Linked DNA regions of Sus scrofa. The protein of the gene in region 1 interacts with the protein of each later gene in a biochemical or structural test. Links are inferred from orthologs where the notes say so. Each region holds a gene or a part of one and is shown in the gene's direction. Other genes may lie near its edges. The genes, in order: EID1, FBXO21 and NR0B2.

Region 1 (6,533 bases):
AGAAAGCTGATTATTGCCTCATTCATTATAACCCCAATGATGATCAAACAATGGATTACTACAGAGCAACAACATATTTCTTGGGCAAAAATAGCTAGGCACAAGATTGTATACTGCATAGTTAAACTAATAGAAAGTTCAAAAACAGGCAAAATTATTTCATTCTGGTTGAAATCAGGACAGTGGTGACTTTTGGGACAAAGGAAGAGAAAGGAAGTGGTTTTCTGGGATCCTGAAAATGGTGTTCCTTGATCTGAGTTGAAGTTACACAAATATGTTCATTTTGTGATAATCAAGATATACCATCATGATTTGTACACTTTTTTATATTTATGCTTTCTGTTACTTCTATTTCAGTTAAAGGTGATTAGTAAAAACAAAGTCAATATGCAAAGATCAATGTTATTCCATATATCAGCAATAGTCAATATTTGGGGAGGTACATTTTACAAGAGAACCAAAGTATAAAACTAATGAGAATCACATAAGACTTTTTGGAAAACTTCATTGAAGCATATAAGGAGGACCTGAGCAAGAAGAAAGACATATATCACCTTTATGGATGAAAGACAGTATTATAAATATGTCAATTCTCCCCCAAAACTAATCTATAAATTCCATGCATTCCAATGAAAATTCCACCAATGTCATTCAGGGAACTTTTCAAACTACTTGTAAAATTCACATGAAAGAATAAATGTGCAAAAAGATCTGAGGCAGTGTTTTAAAGAACAAAGAGATAAGATTTTCCTCATTAGCAAGACATAAAACTATAGAAATTCATTAGTGTGCAAAGTCTAAAAACAGATTCACACTTTTGTGGTCTTTTAGTCTATGATAAATGTGGCACCAAAGAGCAGAAAAAAGGACAAATGGTTAAATTAGTGCAGTTAGCTGAATTAGCTACATACATGGAAAACATATATAAATAAAGCCTATCCTCATATTATTTATATAAATAAATGTTTGATCCATAAAGGATTTATACAAAGGTCTTTTGTTAGAAGACAGATAAAAGATTATGCTTATGACCTTTGAGATAGGTAAATAGAAAGAAATAAGACATACAGGAAAGAAATCCTTAAATTTGATTACATGAAAATTCACTTTTAAACTTTTATGTAAGAAAAGAGCCCTGAGAATATAAACTGGTACAACCACTATGGAATACAGCATGGAGGTTCCTCAAAAAACTAAAATTAAAACTAATATATGACCCAGTAATCCCACTCCTGGGCAACATGCTTCCCAATGTTCATAGCGGAACTATTCACAATAGCCAAGACATGAAAGCAACCTAGATGTCTACTGCCAGATGAATGAATAAAGATACAATAGAATATTACTCAGATATAAAAAAGAATGAAATAATGCCATTTGCAGCAACGTGGATGATACTAGAGATTATCATACAGAGGTAAGTTAGACAGAGAAAGACAAACATATGATATCACTTATATATATGAACTCTAAAAAAATGATAAAAAATGAGCTTATTTACAAAACAGAAACAAACTCACAGACTTCGAAAACAGTTATAGTTACCAAAGGGGAAAGATGGGGGGAGGGATGGATTGGTGGTTTGGGATTGGCATATGGACACAATTGTATATGAAATGGATGGTCACTGGAGACCTGCTGTATAGCACAGGGAACTCTACTCAATATTCTGTGATAACCTATATGGGAAAAGAATCTGAAAAAGAAAGGATATGTTTATATGTACAATTGAACCACTGTGCTATACAGCAGAAATTAACACAACATTATATATCAACTATGCTTCAATAAAACATTTTTTAAAAGACCCTTGAAACAAGAAACAAGAGGCAGGGAGAAAATGTTTGCAACATGTGAAACAAAGTATTCATACACTCAGTTTATAAGAAATTCCTACATCAATAAGAAAAATAAACAAACCTAAAATAAGACCATTTAATTTTCAGAAGTAATACATAGGTTCACTAAACATATTGAAAGATAATTTCCAAGTAATAAGACTATGAAAAATAAAATAATACACCTTTAAGTGATAAAATTGTTAACAATCAACAAAATAATGTGTGGCAAGGGTGTGGATATTCTCAAATATGGCTGGCTAGAGCCTAAATTTGCACAGCAACTTTGAAGAGCAATTTGACATTTATTAAAACTAAAGGATGAATACCCTACAATTTCACCTTTGCACTTCTAGGTTTTCATTTGAGAGAAATATTGTCATTTGGGGATGTTCATTTACCCATAGTTTTTTCTTTTTTTTTTTTTACCCATAATTTTAAATATCAAAAATTATAAAATTATTTGTGCATTGTTAGGTCATTTGCAACATTGCTATACAAGTAGCATACTAGGAAAAACACATGTCTGTGGACACTAACACTGCTAAATCTTCAAGACATTGCTGAGGGCTTTTTCGTTTCCTTGTTTTGAAAGTTGAAGACAATTATGTTAAGATATGTAAAAAGAAAAAAAAAAAAAAAAGACTTTTCCAGAAGACAATAGAGAGATCCACGTAAATGCAAAGAAAGGGGGGGAGGGAATTTAAAGAATATACACCGAATTGCTAACAGTGTAAGGTTATGTCTCCTGCAAAAAGAAACAGGAGCAAGTATTTCTTCTATTTATTTTTTCTTTGTAGAACACCTTTAATATGCTTATTTGTTCATTTAACTTTTTTTTAATATTAGAGATGGATGGATCAATTCTTAATATATTGCTCTGTGGTTCAGAACATCTTTTGCTTTGGAGGTGCAGATTTAGCAGTCATTTGCGCCTAGAAAAAAGTAGTTAAAACCTAGGAGAAGATGTGATTGCCTGGGGATGGGGGAAGGAGGAGGAGCGAAAAGCGGAGGGAGGAAGGAGGAAGGCGATGGAGGAGGAGGGTTAAGGGGTGTTACAGAAGATGTGTAAAGTGTTTTCAAGATTACAGCATCAGAAGCAGAATGACTAAGTAAGGCAGGGGCTAAGCAATGCTCTCGTTTGTAAGTGTATTTAGTCTGAAAGGACCAAGGTCCCGTAAGTCCCCAGGAGCGAACAGCTAGCGGTTGCCGACTGAGCAGCGCGCCAAGCAGGAGGCGATTTCTGGGGGTCGCGCACACGCTCAAGGTCACGCAAGCCCACGGCGTGTGCGCAAGCGCACAACCGCGCGGCCGCGTAGCCCAGATCTTGCAGAAAACGCTTGGCGAGAGGTCTAGCCGATTGCACAATGTCGGAAATGCACGAGCTGTCCGAGCTTTATGAGGAGAGCAATGACCTGCAGATGGATGTGATGCCCGGCGAGAGCGACCTTCCGCAAATGGAGGTAGGCAGCGGGAGCCGGGGGCCGTCCCCGAACCCCTCCCGCTCCGGGGCCCCGCCACAGCTGGAGGAGGAAGGCCCAATGGAGGAGGAGGTGGCCCAGCCAATGGCGGAGCCGCAGGGGCAGCGAGGCCTCGCTAACCGGCCCAACCCTGGGGAGCGCCCGGGCCAGATCGCGGGCCCTGATTTCGAGAGCGAGGACGAGGGCGAGGAATTTGATGACTGGGAGGACGACTACGACTATCCGGAAGAGGAGCAGCTGAGTGGTGCGGGCTACAGAGTCTCAGCGGCCCTGGAAGAAGCCAACAAGATGTTTCTGAGGACCTCCAGAGCGAGAGAAGCAGCTCTGGGGGGCGGATTTCAGATGCATTATGAGAAGACCCCGTTCGATCAGTTGGCTTTTATCGAGGAGCTTTTTTCACTTATGGTTGTCAATCGTCTGACCGAAGAACTCGGCTGTGATGAGATTATTGATAGAGAGTAGTATGCTGTGAAGAGAGGAGGAAACTACTTGAGGAGAGACCCAACAACATTCCAGTCTCTTGGGTTCATTCCGAATAGTTCCGTGCCAATGAAACACTTGATCCAAAAGAAAAAATGGGGGGGGGGGCAGTGTAGACTAGGAAAGTGACTTCACAGTTATGGGAAAGGAAGAAAATTGTTAAAGGAAAAGGATCTCAGTACTGTTGAAACCTGTTTTCAAGAATGTCGTGAAACACTTGTGGCTTTGACTCTGTTACTGATCTAGATTAATTTCCTTGCATTTGGGAAAGTATCTTTCACATTTCCGGATGGCTTTGCAAGAAAAACCAAGACACATGGCCGGTACAAGAGCCCACTGATGTTAATCATATGAGAAAAAGTAACTAATTTATCCAACTTTGGACACCACATGTCTGAGTTATTTGGACTGAAAGCATACTGAAGATGTCATTTTGTGATTCATCTAAGCCAAGCTGTAGTTATTATCCAAAGGCTAAATTTTTAGCGAAAGGTAAATTGAGTATTCTTCAGTATTGCAAAAGAATAATCGAGCCTCCAAAGAAATGTGTATCATGTGTGCTATATCTTAAAGCGTGTTTCCAAGAGCATCTGAGATATTGTTTGTACATATATCTTGATCATTTATAACACTACTGTAATCTTGAATTCAAGAAAATTTACCGTCTTGACCATTTTTAAAAGTCAAAAATTAAGACGTCCTTAATAAAGTTTCAAACTAAGAATGTCAAAGTACAAAGAAAACTAACATCTTTATATACTAGAGAAATTTTCTGTTTTACTTGCTCTTTGTTTTTCATGTAACTTTACAGGCAAAAGACTTTGGTTGAACTTCATAATATAAGAACTGTTAACTGAAAACTGTCAAGTAAAAGGAGAGCCCTACATCTACAAAAGACTTTATGAACAATTATGCTGTCAGCCCTTAAGGGTTTTAAACCTGCCCAGAAATTCACCTCAGTATCTGAAGTTTTTCCTCTGTCTCCTCCTCTAATTAAGCTTGTTATTGGTTATGCACCAGCATTCCAGATAATAAAAATTTCTTGTTCTGTGTATTTTGTCTAATGGTATTGCATACATACTTTCTCTAATTCTACTTTTATTGTATTATATACTACTTTAATGTATGGGCGCAACCACTTTATGATTTAAATTTAACCACTAAAAAAAAAACAAAAAGGGAAAGTTCTCTAGCTTCACATACCTGATTTACAAATTAATTGGTGGAAATTAAACTTAGTAAATTCCCATAAGAGAATTGACCAACCTGGGACAACCTACCAAATCAATAAGCATATTGCTGAAGTTCTATGTGAATAGCAGTCAGAAGGCTGTGCCCAGTGAAAAAGTACCAGATGTTTTTGCTCCATTATGGCAGTAAAGGACACAGCCAATACAACACGACCACTCAGAGCCTACTTATGTTACAGTTATCCTGTCTTTCAGGGAAGGGGATTCTTCTCTGTAAATTACAGAACTAGCAAGTAAGGATGATCATAATTCAAACACTAGCATGGGAGCAGAGGTGGGGAAAGAGGTTAAACTGTGGCACTCAAATGTCTTTACTACTTCTCCCATGGCTTACTTTCATTACATATTGACACTGCTTGTAGATGCAGTCTTAAGAGTTTGGGGAGATAATTGCTTGTGGGATATGAATTAACAGTACGCTGGAAAAAGCATAAAATGGGTTGAGTACACATGAACTGACTAGTTGCATTTACCTCCAGATAAAGATGCCAGGAAATAGGTTCAGAAAAAACATGTACAAACTGGGAAGTGTTCCTCTGTTTCTCTTAGAGACTGAGTCGGGAGGAAGGGGGTGGGGGGGACCACTCCCTGTTGGGTTTGAAGGCTTATTTAGGGGAGAAAGACCTAGACTCTGCAACTCACTCCTCTGATGATTGGTTTGTTGGTCTTAAAAATAGGCAGTAACCTGAGTGATCACTGAAATTAACACTTGTTAATATTTACCAAAGATAAAAAATGGTAATATTTTTCAATGTTAACAGTTATACACAGATTCAAATCTGTCTTCCAATCCTTACTAGCTCTGCAACTGAGTAAATTAATCTCTCTGCCTCAGGATCCCAAACTAAGAACAAGAATAACTGGATGGAACTTACAAACTGAGGATTTAATGAAGATATACATATCTATATATAAATAGATAAACTAAAGAAGAGAGTTCTGGGGAAATTCTAATCCTGGTTCTTTGATGGGGGGAGAGGGTGGGATGTGGAATGATGAGAGAGAACTCAGAGAAATTCATGAGTGTGTAGTGTGATCTGGAGACAGCTTTTGTGGTCTATGCACATTTACTATAAATATTTGCTTAAATCAAATGGCCCACATTGGCTGCCCTCAAGAACACAGATCTGTTTTGTTTAGCTTATGCTTATAGTTTTAATTTCTTTTTTTATTTTTCAAGGGCTGTACCTGTAGCACATGGAGGTTCAAAGCTATGGGTCAAATATGAGCTGTAGCTGCCAGCCACAGCCATAGCAAAGTGGGATCCTTAACGCACTGAGCAAGGCCAGGGTTCCAAACTGCATTCTCATGGATACTAATCAGATTCATTTCCACTGAGCCACAGTGGGAACTCCTTAATTTCTTAATTAAAGACCAGCATCTCATAATCTAGAGAGAGGCAACAAAACTCCCAGTGTGAACCATCTTAGAAGTTACGGTGGGGGGCATTATTTGTATTTATCTTAGAACTTCAAAGGTAGTTT
Region 2 (6,677 bases), on another chromosome or scaffold:
GAAATTCACATCACATAAAATTAAACATAATAAAGCAAATGATTCAGTGGTGTTTAGTACATTCACTACATTATGCAACCACTGCCGCTCTTTTCAAAAATATTTCCATCACCTAAAATGAAACCCGTACCCATTAAGCAGTTTCTCCCCGTTCCCCCATAATGCTTTTATCAAGCACGGTCTCCATGCCAGGTACTGTTCTAGTCACTTTACATAATGTACTCATTTAATTCTCACAACAGTCCCAGGAGGCCAGCATTATTATTACCCCCATTTTAAAAACTGGGCATCAGAAGGCCACGTCACTGGCTCTTGCTAAACAGCTAGTTAGACAATTGCCATCAAGAGATAATTATTGAGGGGCTGCTCGGTACAAGGCCTTGGGCCAAATGCGTGGGCATCCACAGGTGAATCAAAGACAGGCCTGATCCTCAAGCTGCTTCTGATCCAGTGGGAAAGATGAAGATCAAACAAATAGTGCAATTAAGTAATCATTGCAAGCCTGTAACATGCTGTGAAGGGGCTGGATCTGGTTCTGGCGCTGGGGTGGGGGAAGGGGAGGGCATCTGGAGAGGTTCGGCTAAGTCCTGGAAGACAAGGAGGAGGAGCTAAAAGGAGGACGTGCTGGCACAAAGCACATTCCAGGCCATGGAAACAGTATATATGTGAAGGCCAGAAGTGGGAGGAAAGACCCCAGCCTGGCTACAGTGAGGCTAGTGAGGGAGAGAATGGCTTCAGATAAGCAAGGAGAGGAAGATAGGAGTCTGTCCCTTTGCAACAATGTTAGGGATTTTGGATTTCTCTTCCTTTCTTCCTCCCTTCTTTTCTTTTTTTTTTTTAAATGGCTACACCCTTGACATATGGAAATTCCCAGGCTAGGGGTTGAATAGGAGCTGCAGCTGCTGGCCAGAGCAAGTCACATGTACAACCTACACATCAGCTAGCAGCAATGCTGCCAGATCCTTAACCCAGTGAGGTCAAGGATTGAACCTACATCCTCACAGACACTATGTAGGGTTCTTAACCTGCTGAGCCACAAGGCGAACTCTTGGATTTGTTTCTTAGGGTAATAGGGAGTCATGGATGGCTCAACACCATCCATTAAGAATAACTTTCCTAGTTCACCTCTCTCAGGGGATTCTGATTTCCAAATTGAGGGGAATACTATATTGAGCCTCCCTGGACTGACAACAGATTGTACTTGCATGTCCCCCCACCCCCCCAATTGTACTCTGAGTTCCTGGAAGGCAAAGATCCTGTCTTTTTCACTTCTATCACCAGGGCATACAGCACAGAGCCTGGCACTAAACTAAACCGAGTTTAAAAAATTAATAAATAGGAGTTCCTGTTGTGATGCTGTGGTAACGAACGCGCTAGTATCCATGAAGATGCGGGTTGGACCCCTGGCCTCACTCAGTGGGCTAGAAATCCACAGTTGCCCGCAAGCTGTGGTGTAGGTGGCAGTCGAGGCTCAGATCCCGTGTGGCTGTGGCTGCGATGTAGGCCAGCAGCTGCAGCTCAAATTCACCCCCTAGCCTGGGAACTTCCATATGCCAGGAATGTGGCCCTAAAAAGACAAAATAAACAATAGGTGCAGGCACGAGGAAAGAGTGTCCACTCAGTTGAGTGGGAAATCCTGTGCGCAGGATTCAAATCCAGGTTCTACCACTTTTTGCCTCTGTGACTTTGAAGCAGTGACTCCCACCCTTATGAGCCAGGTTTTCCTTATCTGTAGAATGGGTATAAAAATGATACGTATCACCTAGGGCTCAAATGAGGCATCCTTGAAGAACGTATGTAAAGCCCATGGCACAATCCCCACTCAAATATTGTTCGTTAGCATTACAGCACATTGGTTTAGCGTACAATCAAGCAGAGTCAAGCGGATCTGGATTAAAATCTAGGACAAGGGACTCTCAACAAGTCCTTTTATCTCCCTGAGCCTCAGTTTCCTGTAACTGGGGGGAGAATAACGGTTCATAGGGTTATTGGAAAGGTCTGATGAGCACATTCACAGGAAGCGCTCGGCACTCATAATAAAAATGGATGCTACTATGATTGTCCACTCACAGTTCCCGAGCCCACCGCGCTGTTATTTTCCAAAACGTATTTCTTTCCTTTGGCAGCATTGCAGCCCATCGAGAACTGATTGGACCGAGGAGGTGTGGTCACGTCGTGGGCGGGGTGACCCTGGAGCCCTCCCCTCGAGGCGGGTGGGCGGGGCGAGGGGGCGCCCTGGTGCGCGCGCGCGGCGGCCCCAGGTACGCAGACAAGATGGCGGCAGCAGCGGTCGATAGCGCGATGGAGGTGGTGCCGGCGCTGGCGGAGGAGGCCGCGCCCGAGGCGGCGGGCCTCAGCTGCCTCGTCAACCTGCCCGGCGAGGTGCTGGAGTACATTCTGTGCAGCGGCTCGCTGACGGCCGCCGACATAGGCCGCGTCTCTAGCACCTGCCGGCGGCTGCGCGAGCTGTGCCAGAGTAGCGGGAAGGTGTGGAAGGAACAGTTCCGGGTGAGGTGAGCCAGCGGCCCCGGCCGCCCGTGCCCCCACTCTGCGCCCCGGGGGCCCGGGCCCGGCAGCCCATAGCCGCCGCCTCCCTGCCAGCGCGCGGACCCCAGTCCCGGATCCCACCCCCGGACCCCTTCCCGGGGACGGACAGACAAAGGCCTCCAGGCCGCCGACCCCTCGGTCCACGCTGCACGGACCCGCCGGTGCCCAAATTGCGCATCGGGAAGCGCCCAGCAGCCGGGCCCTCCATAAAGGATGACGACTGTGGTATCACGACTCATCCTTTCTGCGCGCTGCTTTTGTGCCCGACTCAGTGCTAGAATGTTTACATGGACCCAGTGATGCAGTGATCCTAACAGCCCTTTGAGGAGCGGGCGCAGCATCTCCTGGCAGTTAGCTGAGAGCACAGATTTCGGTGTGGGACCGGGGATGAAATCTGGCCCTGACGTACTCCCCGTGTGACCTTGGGGGTAGCGACTTCCCTTTTTTGATCCTCATTCATCGACTTTAAACAGTGTTGATTAGACCTACCTTTGACTTTGGTTATTAGATGAGATGATGTGTAGGGAGTACTTACACCGGGCCCGGCTCTTAGGAGGCGCACAATTAATGTTAACTGTGATTGTCATCACTATGATTATTGTTGCTACGACTGTCCCCATTTTATAAATGGGGACTGGAAATGCAGTATTCCTATTGCCACGCCAAGGTCACGGCGTGAGCAAGTGCGTGCGTGCCGGGTGGAGATTTGAACTATCGCCAGGGCCCCTCTGACCCCTAAAACCAACTGTTTCCCAGTTTCCCAAGGCCGCCTTTGAGTCTCCGTTGCGCTGAGGGAGTGTTTCTCTCCTTGTAGGTGGCCTTCCCTTATGAAACACTACAGCCCCACCGACTACGTCAATTGGTTGGAGGAGTATAAAGTTCGGCAAAAAGCTGGGTTAGAAGCCCGGAAGATTGTAGCCTCATTCTCAAAGAGGTTCTTTTCCGAGCACGTAAGGATCTGTTGTTGGAGTTCTAAGCGTTTGCCTGTTCTCGGTGTTTGTGTCTGGGTCTGTAGGCATTAGCTCATCAGCTCTTTTTGCCATCTCCCTTTTCTGTGCCCTCACAATCCCTTACTCACTTCCATGGCTGCAAGAGTCATTGTGTCCTTTTCCTCCCATCCAACAACATGAAGCCATTTGTCCCTGCCAGCTTTACTTTTCTAAAGCCAGAGAGAATGGGGGGAGGGAGAGGGAGGAAGGGACCCGCAGCGCAATGTGGAGGGAATCCAGATCAGCATTATTCTCTTTAAGTGGGTTAAACATATATTTTTGCAACCTCCAGGTTACTGGGGGTGGGGGAGTGGGGGGAGATCATCGATGATTGAACACTGCAAATTTCACCCAGTTGTTTTCCCAGAAGGGTTGACAAAATTAATATGGTTCTTTCTGGCTTTGCAGGTTCTAACCAGTAGTGAACTGCGTTATTTGTTAAGGTAACAGAGGATTAAAAGCTACCTGTGAATGGAGAATCATTACTCCCGCAATTAAATTGTCTTGCATTCATTATCCCCCAAAAGATTTTTTTTTTTTAATTTTTTTATGTAATGCTGAAATGCATGGGTTGGTTGGTTTGTTTCCCTTCCACAAAGTGTCTCACAGAAGTTTCTGTATCAGGTCCTGATTCTTAACTTTTTGTAATTCTGGAAAATAGTGCACACTAATATTTTAAGTTTATTTTTGGTTGGAGGTCTAGAAATGAAACGGATCTGATTTATTTTAATATCCTCATTTACTGAAGTTTGATTCCTGTTTTCTAATTCTTTTTGTTTGTTTATTTTTGTTTTTGTTTTTTGGCATATGTAAGTGTCCAGGCCAGGGACCAAAGCCGAGCCACAGCTGCGACCTATGCCGCAGCTGTGGCAATGCTGGAGCCTTAACTGTGCCAGGCTGGGGATTGAACCTATGCCATTGCAGAGACGAAGCTGGATCCTGCTGCAGTACAGCGGGAACTTCCCTATTTTCTAATTTTAATTACTGTTATTTAATGGAGTTCATATATTTGAAATGTTTTCATGGCTTTTCAAGTTTTGAAAGGGAAAAGTTGGGCTTTGGGTAAATTTGAACTTATTCCCCCATAGAAATTAAAACTAGATATTCCCTAGTGTAATTCATTTCTATAAGTAAATGTTTCTTAAATGTTAGAGTGAACAAAATGTATATCCTACTTTGGATAAGCCATGCACTAGCTAAAAGCATTCATACCACACATTTTCCATACTGGTTTAAATGGATTTGCCCACACATATTGCCGGATGTATTTGATGCCCTTGGACGTGGGCTACTAGTTTGCGACCTCTAGTTAATAGTCGCAGCTGGTTTTGTGTGCAATTTTCACTGTCTGTGCCTTTGTCTAATAATGATGCATTGTTGTGTTTTTCCCTCAGTGCCCTCTTTCCCTGCACCTCTGCTTGATTAGAAGTGTGTCAAGGACTTTGAACATAGCAGGAGCATACTTAGGATTGATCTGTGGGTGGATGATTACTTTGGCTCAGGACCCTTGTATTTCTGTGTTCTCAGCGTGTACAGGTTGACATGAAATTTCCTGATTACTTTGAAAAAGGAAAGTGGGAGAGGTAGTAGAATTTTATGCTGAAGGGATCTTAAAGCTCATTGGTACCACCCCCTCAATTTACAGAGGGGAAAACATAAAGGGTCAAGAGTCGCCTGAAGCACTGGACTTCTCTGGCCCTCCACTCCTAGTTGAATTCAGTGTAGACTGCACAGAATAGTTATTGTTAATTAGGAGATTTTGTGTTTCTGGTCCTGATTTCAGAGTTATTTTTCTTCACATTTGAACTGAGTTATCACTTTCAGAAACTCCAGTCTTTGAAGATGTAAGTCATTTACAACTAACAGTATGATCTGAACAAACTATTGTTACTCCACAGGTTGCTTTCCACCCGTAGTGGGTGGGCAGTGCAAGATAGTGTGGGAGAGGTGTTACCACTTCTGTGAAAAAGAGCAGCTTTGTTTGCAACTCAGATTTGTGTGTGAGCATGACGATGACATTATTACTCATTACTGAGCCTCTTTGTATGTGTCTTTTCATAGGTCCCTTGTAACGGTTTTAGTGACATTGAGAATCTTGAGGGACCAGAGATATTTTTTGAGGATGAACTGGTGTGTATCCTAAATATGGAAGGAAGGTAAGCTGTAGTTTTATCCAGGATTTTGTTTGTTTTAATAATTACCCCAGAGTTAATTGCTGTAATTAGTATGTGGCTGAACTGTGGGACACATTTCCAAATATTTCATGTTACATTCATGTTGTTACAGTTAGATTTTTGAAAAATTTCCTCTGTACAAGGTAACTACACCAAGACAATTGATATGCAAAGAAACAGTTCAAAAATCCTTTCGGGAGAATTCATGTTTAGTCCTCCTTCGGGTCAAATACTGTACTCTGGGCACTTGTATCTATTATGGCATTTGGTTAATACAAATTATCCTTTCTTCGTTGTCACTTGTTCACCTACCACCACCAGATTTGCCTGTCGTGAATTGAATTCTTTAAAAAAAAGTTTCTCGTGTATGTCTTAATTTAATGGATAATATTTTACAATTTCTGGATTATGGTAAGAAATAATCTACTTCGCCCATGAACATTACAGATACTTGGTTGAGCCTTGCTTTTATCTCTCTCAATCAAGAGGAATCCATTATCTCTTGATTGTTGCTTAAAATTCTTTTATGCCTTATATTTTCTGAAGGTTAATTTCCAGTTTACCAGAAAGATGACTTGGCTTCCAGCCTAACTTACCTATGAAAAAGATTTTCTGCTCTAAAAGTTCTGGAAATTTTATTAACGATGGAAGATGAGTGCTAGTTTAACATCTTCAGAGAAATCATTGTGAAACATCTCACAAACAAGGCATAAGACATTGTTCTTATTGTTTTCAAGGGGGTTTAGGAGAGAGAACTATCTATCAGTGGAACAACTGTGAGGGAGAGGTAAGATGTGTCACTATTCTAGGCCTTGGATGAGTTCTGATGCAGAGGTCATTTTTCTGTTTCTATTTTGGTTTATCTATAAATGAATTAAGTGTGATCTAATAGTCAGTATTGTGCAGCCTTAAAAATAAAAGTCAACCTATCTCTTTTACATATATACACATAGACTTTTAAATTCGT
Region 3 (6,864 bases), on another chromosome or scaffold:
ACAACCTCATGGTTCCTAGTTGGATTCGTTAACCACTGTGCCACGACGGGAACTCCTATTCTTTTTTTTTTTAGCCAGGCCCATGGCATGTGGAAGTTCCCAGGTCAGAGATCAAACCCATGCCATAGCAGCAACCTGAGCTGGATCCTTAACCCACTGCATCAGAGGGGATCCCTGATTTTCTATTCTTAAAGACGGCCCTACAAAACTGTATAAGCTTCAGGGCCCTAAGACCAATATTCACTAGTGGCCTTTCTTACTACCCTTTTTAATTTTTTTAATCTGAAGCATATGGAAGTTCCCAGGCTAGGGGCTGAATCGGAGCTGTAGCTGCCGGCCTACCCCACAGCCACAGCAATGCAAGATCCAAGCTGCATCTGCAGTCAATACCACAGCTCATGGCAACGATGGATCCTTAGCCCATTGAGCAACGCCAGGGATCGAACTTGCATCCTTATGGTAACTAGTCGAGTTCGTTACTGCTGAGCCACAATGGGATCTTCTTACTACCCTTTTAAATATGAGAAAACTGAGGCCCAGAAATATAAAGTGACTTGCGCCCAAGGCCCAAGGTGGCTCAATTAAATAATGAAAAAGGGTTTGGACCCAGCCAGTCTGACCCTAGAGTCTCCTTAGAGGGGATGCTCTGAGGACCCAGTGAGATAAAAGGATGTTAAAGCAACTTTATATGTGGAATGATTAAGATTGTTATGTTATTGTAATCACAGGAGAGATGTGTGCCTGTCTGCTGGGGTCTGTTTGCCTTAGTTCCTTAGGCAGAGGAAAGGGGGAGCAAAGTCTAATATATGCTAGAAACTGCTTGGAATCTGATGCCTCGGACCTCACTATGTCCTCACAGCTGCCCCATAGGCAGGTATTGTCTCAGCTGAGGATCCTGAGGCCCACAGGAGATTTGGGGTTCAGCCCACAGTCACACTATTGGAAAGTGATAGAGCCAGGAGCTGATGCCAGGGATGGCAATGGCTGCCCAGTAGTGTGTTAGCAGAAGGCTTGCCAGGCTGGGCTTGCCAAGGTCCACAGATATGACACAGCCAAGGACCGTCCCAACAGCCCTCCCGACGTCAGAAACAGATGCCAGGGACAGGGGAGCCGTGTGGCTAGCTGGCAGCAGAGCAACATTTCTGCCCAGATCACATGGGCAACATCTGCAGACCAAGAAGCAGAGGTGGGGGCCCAGGTGGTCATGAGCTCTGGGAGACCCAGGCCCCACAGCTCTGGCTGCCCAATTGGGCCAGAGGGTCCAGGGCAACAAGTGAGGATTTTGGAGTCAGACTGATCTGGGCTCTGTCTCTTCTCAGTGGTTTGAACTTGGGCAAGTCACTTCACCTCTTTGAGTCTCAAAAAGTAAGAATCTTGGGAGCTCCTGTTGTGGTTCAGTGGGATAAGAAACAAACTAGTATCCATGAGAATGCAGGTTCGATCCCTGCCTTGCTCAGTGGGTTAAGGAAACAGCCTTGCCTCAAGCTGTGGTGTAGGTCACAGACTTGGCTCAGATTCCGCATTGCTGTGGCTGTAGTGTAGGCAGGCAGCTGCAGTTCTGATTTGACCGCCTGGCCTAAGAACTTCCATATGCTGTGGGTGTGACCTTAAAAAAGACAAAAAAAAAAAAAAAAAGGTTTGGAATCTTATAGGGCAGCTTTGAATAAGAGAGTGGAAAGTGCCTGGCATGTAGTAAATAGCAGCAGTATTTCATTATCATTCTGCAAAGGCTTCTCAGCAGATATAGCCCTTCAGGGTCTCCAGGAATCCAGGCTGGGGAGAAAGACTTCTTAAGGATCTTATTCGTGCAGGACCCCCCAGAACTGGAGTCAGAGGAAAGGGGCCTCCTTGACTGCAAAGTGGGCAAAGTCCTCCCAGCCCCCCAGGGTCCTGGCTCCCTTCCCTGCAGGTTGTTCCTTACTGACAACGGGAGCAGGGCCCCAAGGTTAGGCAAACAAGCAAGTGATAAGGCGCTTCCAGGTTGGGCCTTGTGTTCAAGGCTTGTCCCGGTCTGGGGCTGGCTTCCCAGTCGAGCAAGAGTCCTGCTGGCACCAACAGGGACACCTGCCACGGCCACCTGCAATCGGGTGCAATCATGCACCTGAGGCCTTGGTGCCCTGGTACAGCCTGGGTTAATGACCCTGTTTATCCACTTGAATCATCTGACAAAGGGCAGCCCGGCCAGCAGGCAGGCGGCTCTTGCCCTGCACCCGCCGCTTCATTGACTGAAGCGATATCAGAGCCACGTGGAGTTCCAAGGCCCCCTCCCCCCTCACTTCCTCACCGGTCCTGCCAGGGTCAGTGTGTGTTTCTTTTTTTTTCAATGAACATGACTTCTGGAGTCAAGGTTGTTGGGCCATTCCCCCGCCCTCCCCCATGGGGGGATATAAATAGCACCCATAGCACAGAGCAGAGGGCAGGGGAGAGCCGGGAGGAAGCAGGAGCAGAGCCTCAATCATGAGCTCCAGGCAGCCAGGGACCTGCCCATGCCAGAGTGCAGCAGGCCGCCCAACCATTCTGTATGCACTTCTGAGCCCCAGCGACAGGGACCGGCCGTCTGTGCCCCCAGCCCGCAGCCACTGCCTGTGCAGGCAGCACCGGCCTGTCCGGCTCTGTACCCCCCATCGCACCTGCCAGGAGGCTTTGAATGTTCTGGCCAAGACGCTGGCCTTCCTCAGGAACTTGCCGTCTTTCTGCCAGCTGCCTCCCCAGGATCAGCGGCAGCTGCTGCGGGGCTGCTGGGGTCCCCTCTTCCTGCTTGGTTTGGCCCAAGACATTGTGACCTTCGAGGTGGCCGAGGTCCCAGTTCCCAGTATACTCAAGAAGATCCTGCTGGAGGAGCCCAGCAGCGGCGCAGGTAGTGGCCAGCCGCTGGATCGGCCCCAGCCCTCGCTGGCTGCCGTGCAGTGGCTTCAGTGCTGCCTGGAGTCCTTATGGAGTCTGGAGCTGGGCCCCAAGGAATACGCCTACCTGAAAGGGACCATTCTCTTCAACCCTGGTGAGCTCCTAGACACTCCTGGATGGGGGCCGAGGCTGGAGGGGGCCAGGGCTTAGCCAGGAGGGCGCCTTCTAAAGGCTTGACACCCGTTGTCTTTTTTGGGTCCTCATTATCACCACCAAAGAGTCATCTCACAAAAGGGGCTCAGAGAGGCTAAGTGACTCGCTGAAAGTCACACAGCCAGGGAGGGGCAGAGCAAGGATGGGAACTTGGGTCTCTTCACTTCAGCCACTCTGCCCCAGAACCTTGTCCTGACCCTCAGGGAAGGCGGGAGTCCTGAAAGGGAGGGTGGACAGACACAACTGTACCTCAGTCATGTCTTCACCAGCTGATGGCATGAAGATATTCTGAAGGTGCAAGTCCGTGGGTCCAGAAAGACCATGCATAGAAGAGGAATGAAAACGAGGGATGTGGGGGAGGAGAGGGAGGAGTCTGTGTAAACTTCAGCCGGGAGAGCACAGATAGAGGTAGTGTCTTTGTTATCTGGAGAGCACCTAGATGAGAATGTCTCCCCAAAAGGCCTTCATGGGATACATTATCAAAGAAATTGTTTAGAACAATAGTAACAAATACTCATATTACGCTTACCGTATGTTCAGTCCAGTGCTAAGGGTTTGACATGTACTGGCTCATTCAAACCTCATAACAAGTCTAGAAGATAGGTTTTTATACCCATTTTATCATTTTGTTATCATTATCATTATTATTATTATCCTTATTTGCCTTTTTGTCTTTCTAGGGCCGCACCCATGGCACATGGAGGCTCCCAGGTTAGGGGTCCAATCGGAGCTGTAGCCACCCACCTATGCCAGAGCCATGGCAATGCGGGATCCGAGCCGCATCTTTGACCTATGTCACAGCTCCTGTCAGTGCGGGATCCTTAACCCACCAAGGGAGGCCAGGGGTCAAACTTGCATCCTCACGGGTGCTAGTCGGGTTCGTTAACTGCTGAGCCACGACAGTAACTCCTATCATTTTATTATTTATTCCCATTTTACAAATGAGGAAACAGAGGCACAGAGATTGAGTAACTTTCCCAAGGCCACATAGCTAATAATGATAGTGTGGGATTCAAACCCAGGTGGCCTGGGTCTTAACCATTGCTCTATACTACCTCACCATAAAGGAGCAATGAATAAAGTGATGGATAAGTAACTCGAGATAGAAATAGGGTCCCAAAAGCTGAGCTGGCGGCCTCAGGTCTTGGGCCAGTCTTATCCTGTGGTGTCGGAGCAGGGTCCTCACCAGCCCTCTTTGCCTTCTCTGCCCGCAGATGTTCCAGGCCTCTATGCCTCCTCCCACATCGGGCACCTGCAGCACGAGGCCCACCAGGCGCTGTGGGAGGTCTTGGAGCCCTGGTGCCCAGCAGGCCAAAGCCGCTTGGCTCGTGTTCTCCTCGCAGCCTCCACCCTCAAGTCCATTCCGCCCACCCTGCTTGGGGACCTCTTCTTTCGCCCTGTCATTGGAGATGTTGACATCGTTGGCCTCCTCGAGGACATGCTTTTGCTGAGCTGACCTGCTCCAGCCCAGGCAGAGATCAGGTGGAGGCTGGCAGCACTGATTTGACCTGGCTGTCCCCAGGGGTGAGCCGGTGCTCCCAGAGGGGGCAAGCCTGGACAGCGAGCTCTCGGCTCCCCAGGAGCAGCTAGTCCTGGCCCAGCCAATTGGGCTACACCCTATCTTGGCCTTCCTTGTTTTGGGCACCGTGCTCCAGCTGTCTGGCCAGCCCTTGGTGGTCCCAGGACCTTTGGGCCAAGACTCCTGTCTCCTCCTGGGATGGGGTTGGAAAGTCTGACTGCTCACTGGGTCAGGAGTCCTCCTGACTTTGTACAGAACTGACTTAAGTTATTGGTTTTTGTAATAAAAAGTGTGACACACATGGAGCCTGACGCTGTATTTTGTACATGTGGAGGGGACCGCCTCACCTCTGGGGTTACCCCGCCCTGCCCCTATAGGAGGGAGCCCCTGAAGAAGGAACTCTAAGTGTACAGCAGTCAGACCTCTGGAAACTGGAATTTTAATATATCAGAGGGGAATGATGATTTCATTTCTGGGGATGCGATTTATTTTGCATGGGTCTAAATCCAGGGGGCAGCATCAGTTCAAGACTCCCTCACATCCTTGACTTTATCTTAGAAGGTAGTAGGTATCTCTCCCTGCCCCCATCCCCTGCTGACCCCCTCCCCCAGCTCCCGCCCTAGGCTCCCTCTCACCTCAGTGAGAACTGCATCCCAGCCAATAAGGAAAATGAGGAGTTCCCATCGTGGCAGTGGTTAAGAATCCGACTAGGAACCATGAGGTTGCAGGTTCGGTCCCTGCCCTTGCTCAGTGGGTTAACGATCCAGCATTGCCGTGAGCTGTGGTGTAGGTTGCAGACGCGGCTCGGATCCCGCGTTGCTGTGGCTCTGGCGTAGGCCTGTGGCTACAGCTCCGATTCGACCCCTAACCTGGGAACCTCCATATGCCACGGGAACGGCCCAAGAAATGGCAAAAAGACCAAAAAAAAAAAAAAAAAAGGAAAATAAAACAGACCATCCCCAAATTGAAGCAGCCAGTTTCCTGGAATTTCTGAGGTGGTTATTGATTTGCTTCCTTCATTGCTTCAGCTGACAGAGGAGGGTGGTCCATTGTTTCCCCAATGAGAGGGGACAAGGGCACCCAGGGCTGGCCTGGCAGCTGTTAGGAGGCCAAGACAAACTGAGGTTTAGCTGCCACACCAGCTGTTTAAGTTTGAAACACTTCCATGCCAGTTGGTTCGCAGCCACTGCACTGAGCGCCCCTGTATTTCCTCCCACTGCCCCTCTGTGCTGGCCTTTCTCCTGGAACCCATCCCCGGGTCCAGCATCTAGAGAGGCAATGCTTGGCATAGCCATGGCCTCTGGAACTGTTCCATTCAGTGCGTGGCTTGCGTCTGTTCTGACCGGTCAATGTCTGTGCCTCACTGTTTGTTAAACATTTTGAACATCACCCAGGTCAGGGTCACTGCCCTGCAGGGGGGGGGGCAGGAGGGAACGATAACAACACACATGCCCATAGGACCCCCTTCAGGCCTCCTCCTTTCTCCAGCAATGAGGCCTGCCCCGGACCAGGCCTCGCCCCCCTCACCACCAGTTTGGAGTCTTCTCATGGGGGGGGCCAAGTTAATTATTACTCAACAAGAGGTCATTCACTCAGGGACAACAGTCTAGGAGTTGTCATTCAGACCTCTCCCCAAGGCCCCTAGGAAAGGGACCACAACTGAATCGGCTCACACCTATCATGGGCACCCAGTGCCAACGGCAAGGGCAACCTGTCCCTTCCCCAGTCACCCACTCACCACTCACCCAGCATGAAACAGAAGCACGCAGCTCTGACCTCACAACAAAGACACACACGCAAGTGAGACCTACAAGCGTCTCACACCCAAAGTCGGTACAACTCAGACATGCACATGGAGGTTCCCAGGCCAGGGGTTGAGTCGGAGCTTTAGCCGCTGGCCTATGCCACAGCCATAGATAGCAACACCAGATCTGAGCCGAACCTTCGATCTTCACCACAGCTCACGCCAACACCAAATCCTTAACCCACTGAGTGAGGCCAGGGATCGAACCTGAGTCCTCATGGATGCTAGTCAGATTCATTTCTGCTGAGCCACAGTGGGAACTCCCGTCTCTCCATCTTCTATAGTTCACAGAAAAAGGAAGAGCGGGCCCCAGCGTAGGCAGACCTGTGTCTGCACATCTTCAGGGTCTACCCAGAGCCTGCCAATCCGGGCCAAACTACTCTGCCTGGCATTTGGGGTCTCAATCACCCCCTCTTCCCATGGTGACCCCAACATCCAGCGTCCTCTCAAGAAGGCCATGTCCTGCTCAACAACTCCCCCTACA

The links.
Region 2: of the proteins of EID1 (region 1) and FBXO21, one has a biochemical effect on the other in vitro, tested with the Homo sapiens proteins (2 studies listed by BioGRID, with this or other methods). The link is inferred for Sus scrofa from reciprocal best matches to the Homo sapiens genes EID1 and FBXO21.
Region 3: the proteins of EID1 (region 1) and NR0B2 form a complex in vitro, tested with the Homo sapiens proteins (3 studies listed by BioGRID). The link is inferred for Sus scrofa from reciprocal best matches to the Homo sapiens genes EID1 and NR0B2.

Annotation. Positions count from the first base shown.
Region 1 is NC_010443.5:122,808,804-122,815,336, reverse strand, and holds EID1 (EP300-interacting inhibitor of differentiation 1), read left to right. Parts: upstream 1-2,855; 5' UTR 2,856-3,205; coding exon 3,206-3,781; 3' UTR 3,782-4,853; downstream 4,854-6,533. UniProt on the Homo sapiens protein: Interacts with RB1 and EP300 and acts as a repressor of MYOD1 transactivation. Inhibits EP300 and CBP histone acetyltransferase activity.
Region 2 is NC_010456.5:35,311,385-35,318,061, forward strand, and holds the start of FBXO21 (F-box only protein 21), read left to right. Parts: upstream 1-2,274; coding exon 2,275-2,513; intron 2,514-3,361; coding exon 3,362-3,497; intron 3,498-5,597; coding exon 5,598-5,692; intron 5,693-6,677. UniProt on the Homo sapiens protein: Substrate-recognition component of the SCF (SKP1-CUL1-F-box protein)-type E3 ubiquitin ligase complex.
Region 3 is NC_010448.4:84,223,276-84,230,139, forward strand, and holds NR0B2 (nuclear receptor subfamily 0 group B member 2), read left to right. Parts: upstream 1-2,394; 5' UTR 2,395-2,457; coding exon 2,458-2,998; intron 2,999-4,271; coding exon 4,272-4,513; 3' UTR 4,514-4,881; downstream 4,882-6,864. UniProt on the Homo sapiens protein: Transcriptional regulator that acts as a negative regulator of receptor-dependent signaling pathways. Specifically inhibits transactivation of the nuclear receptor with which it interacts.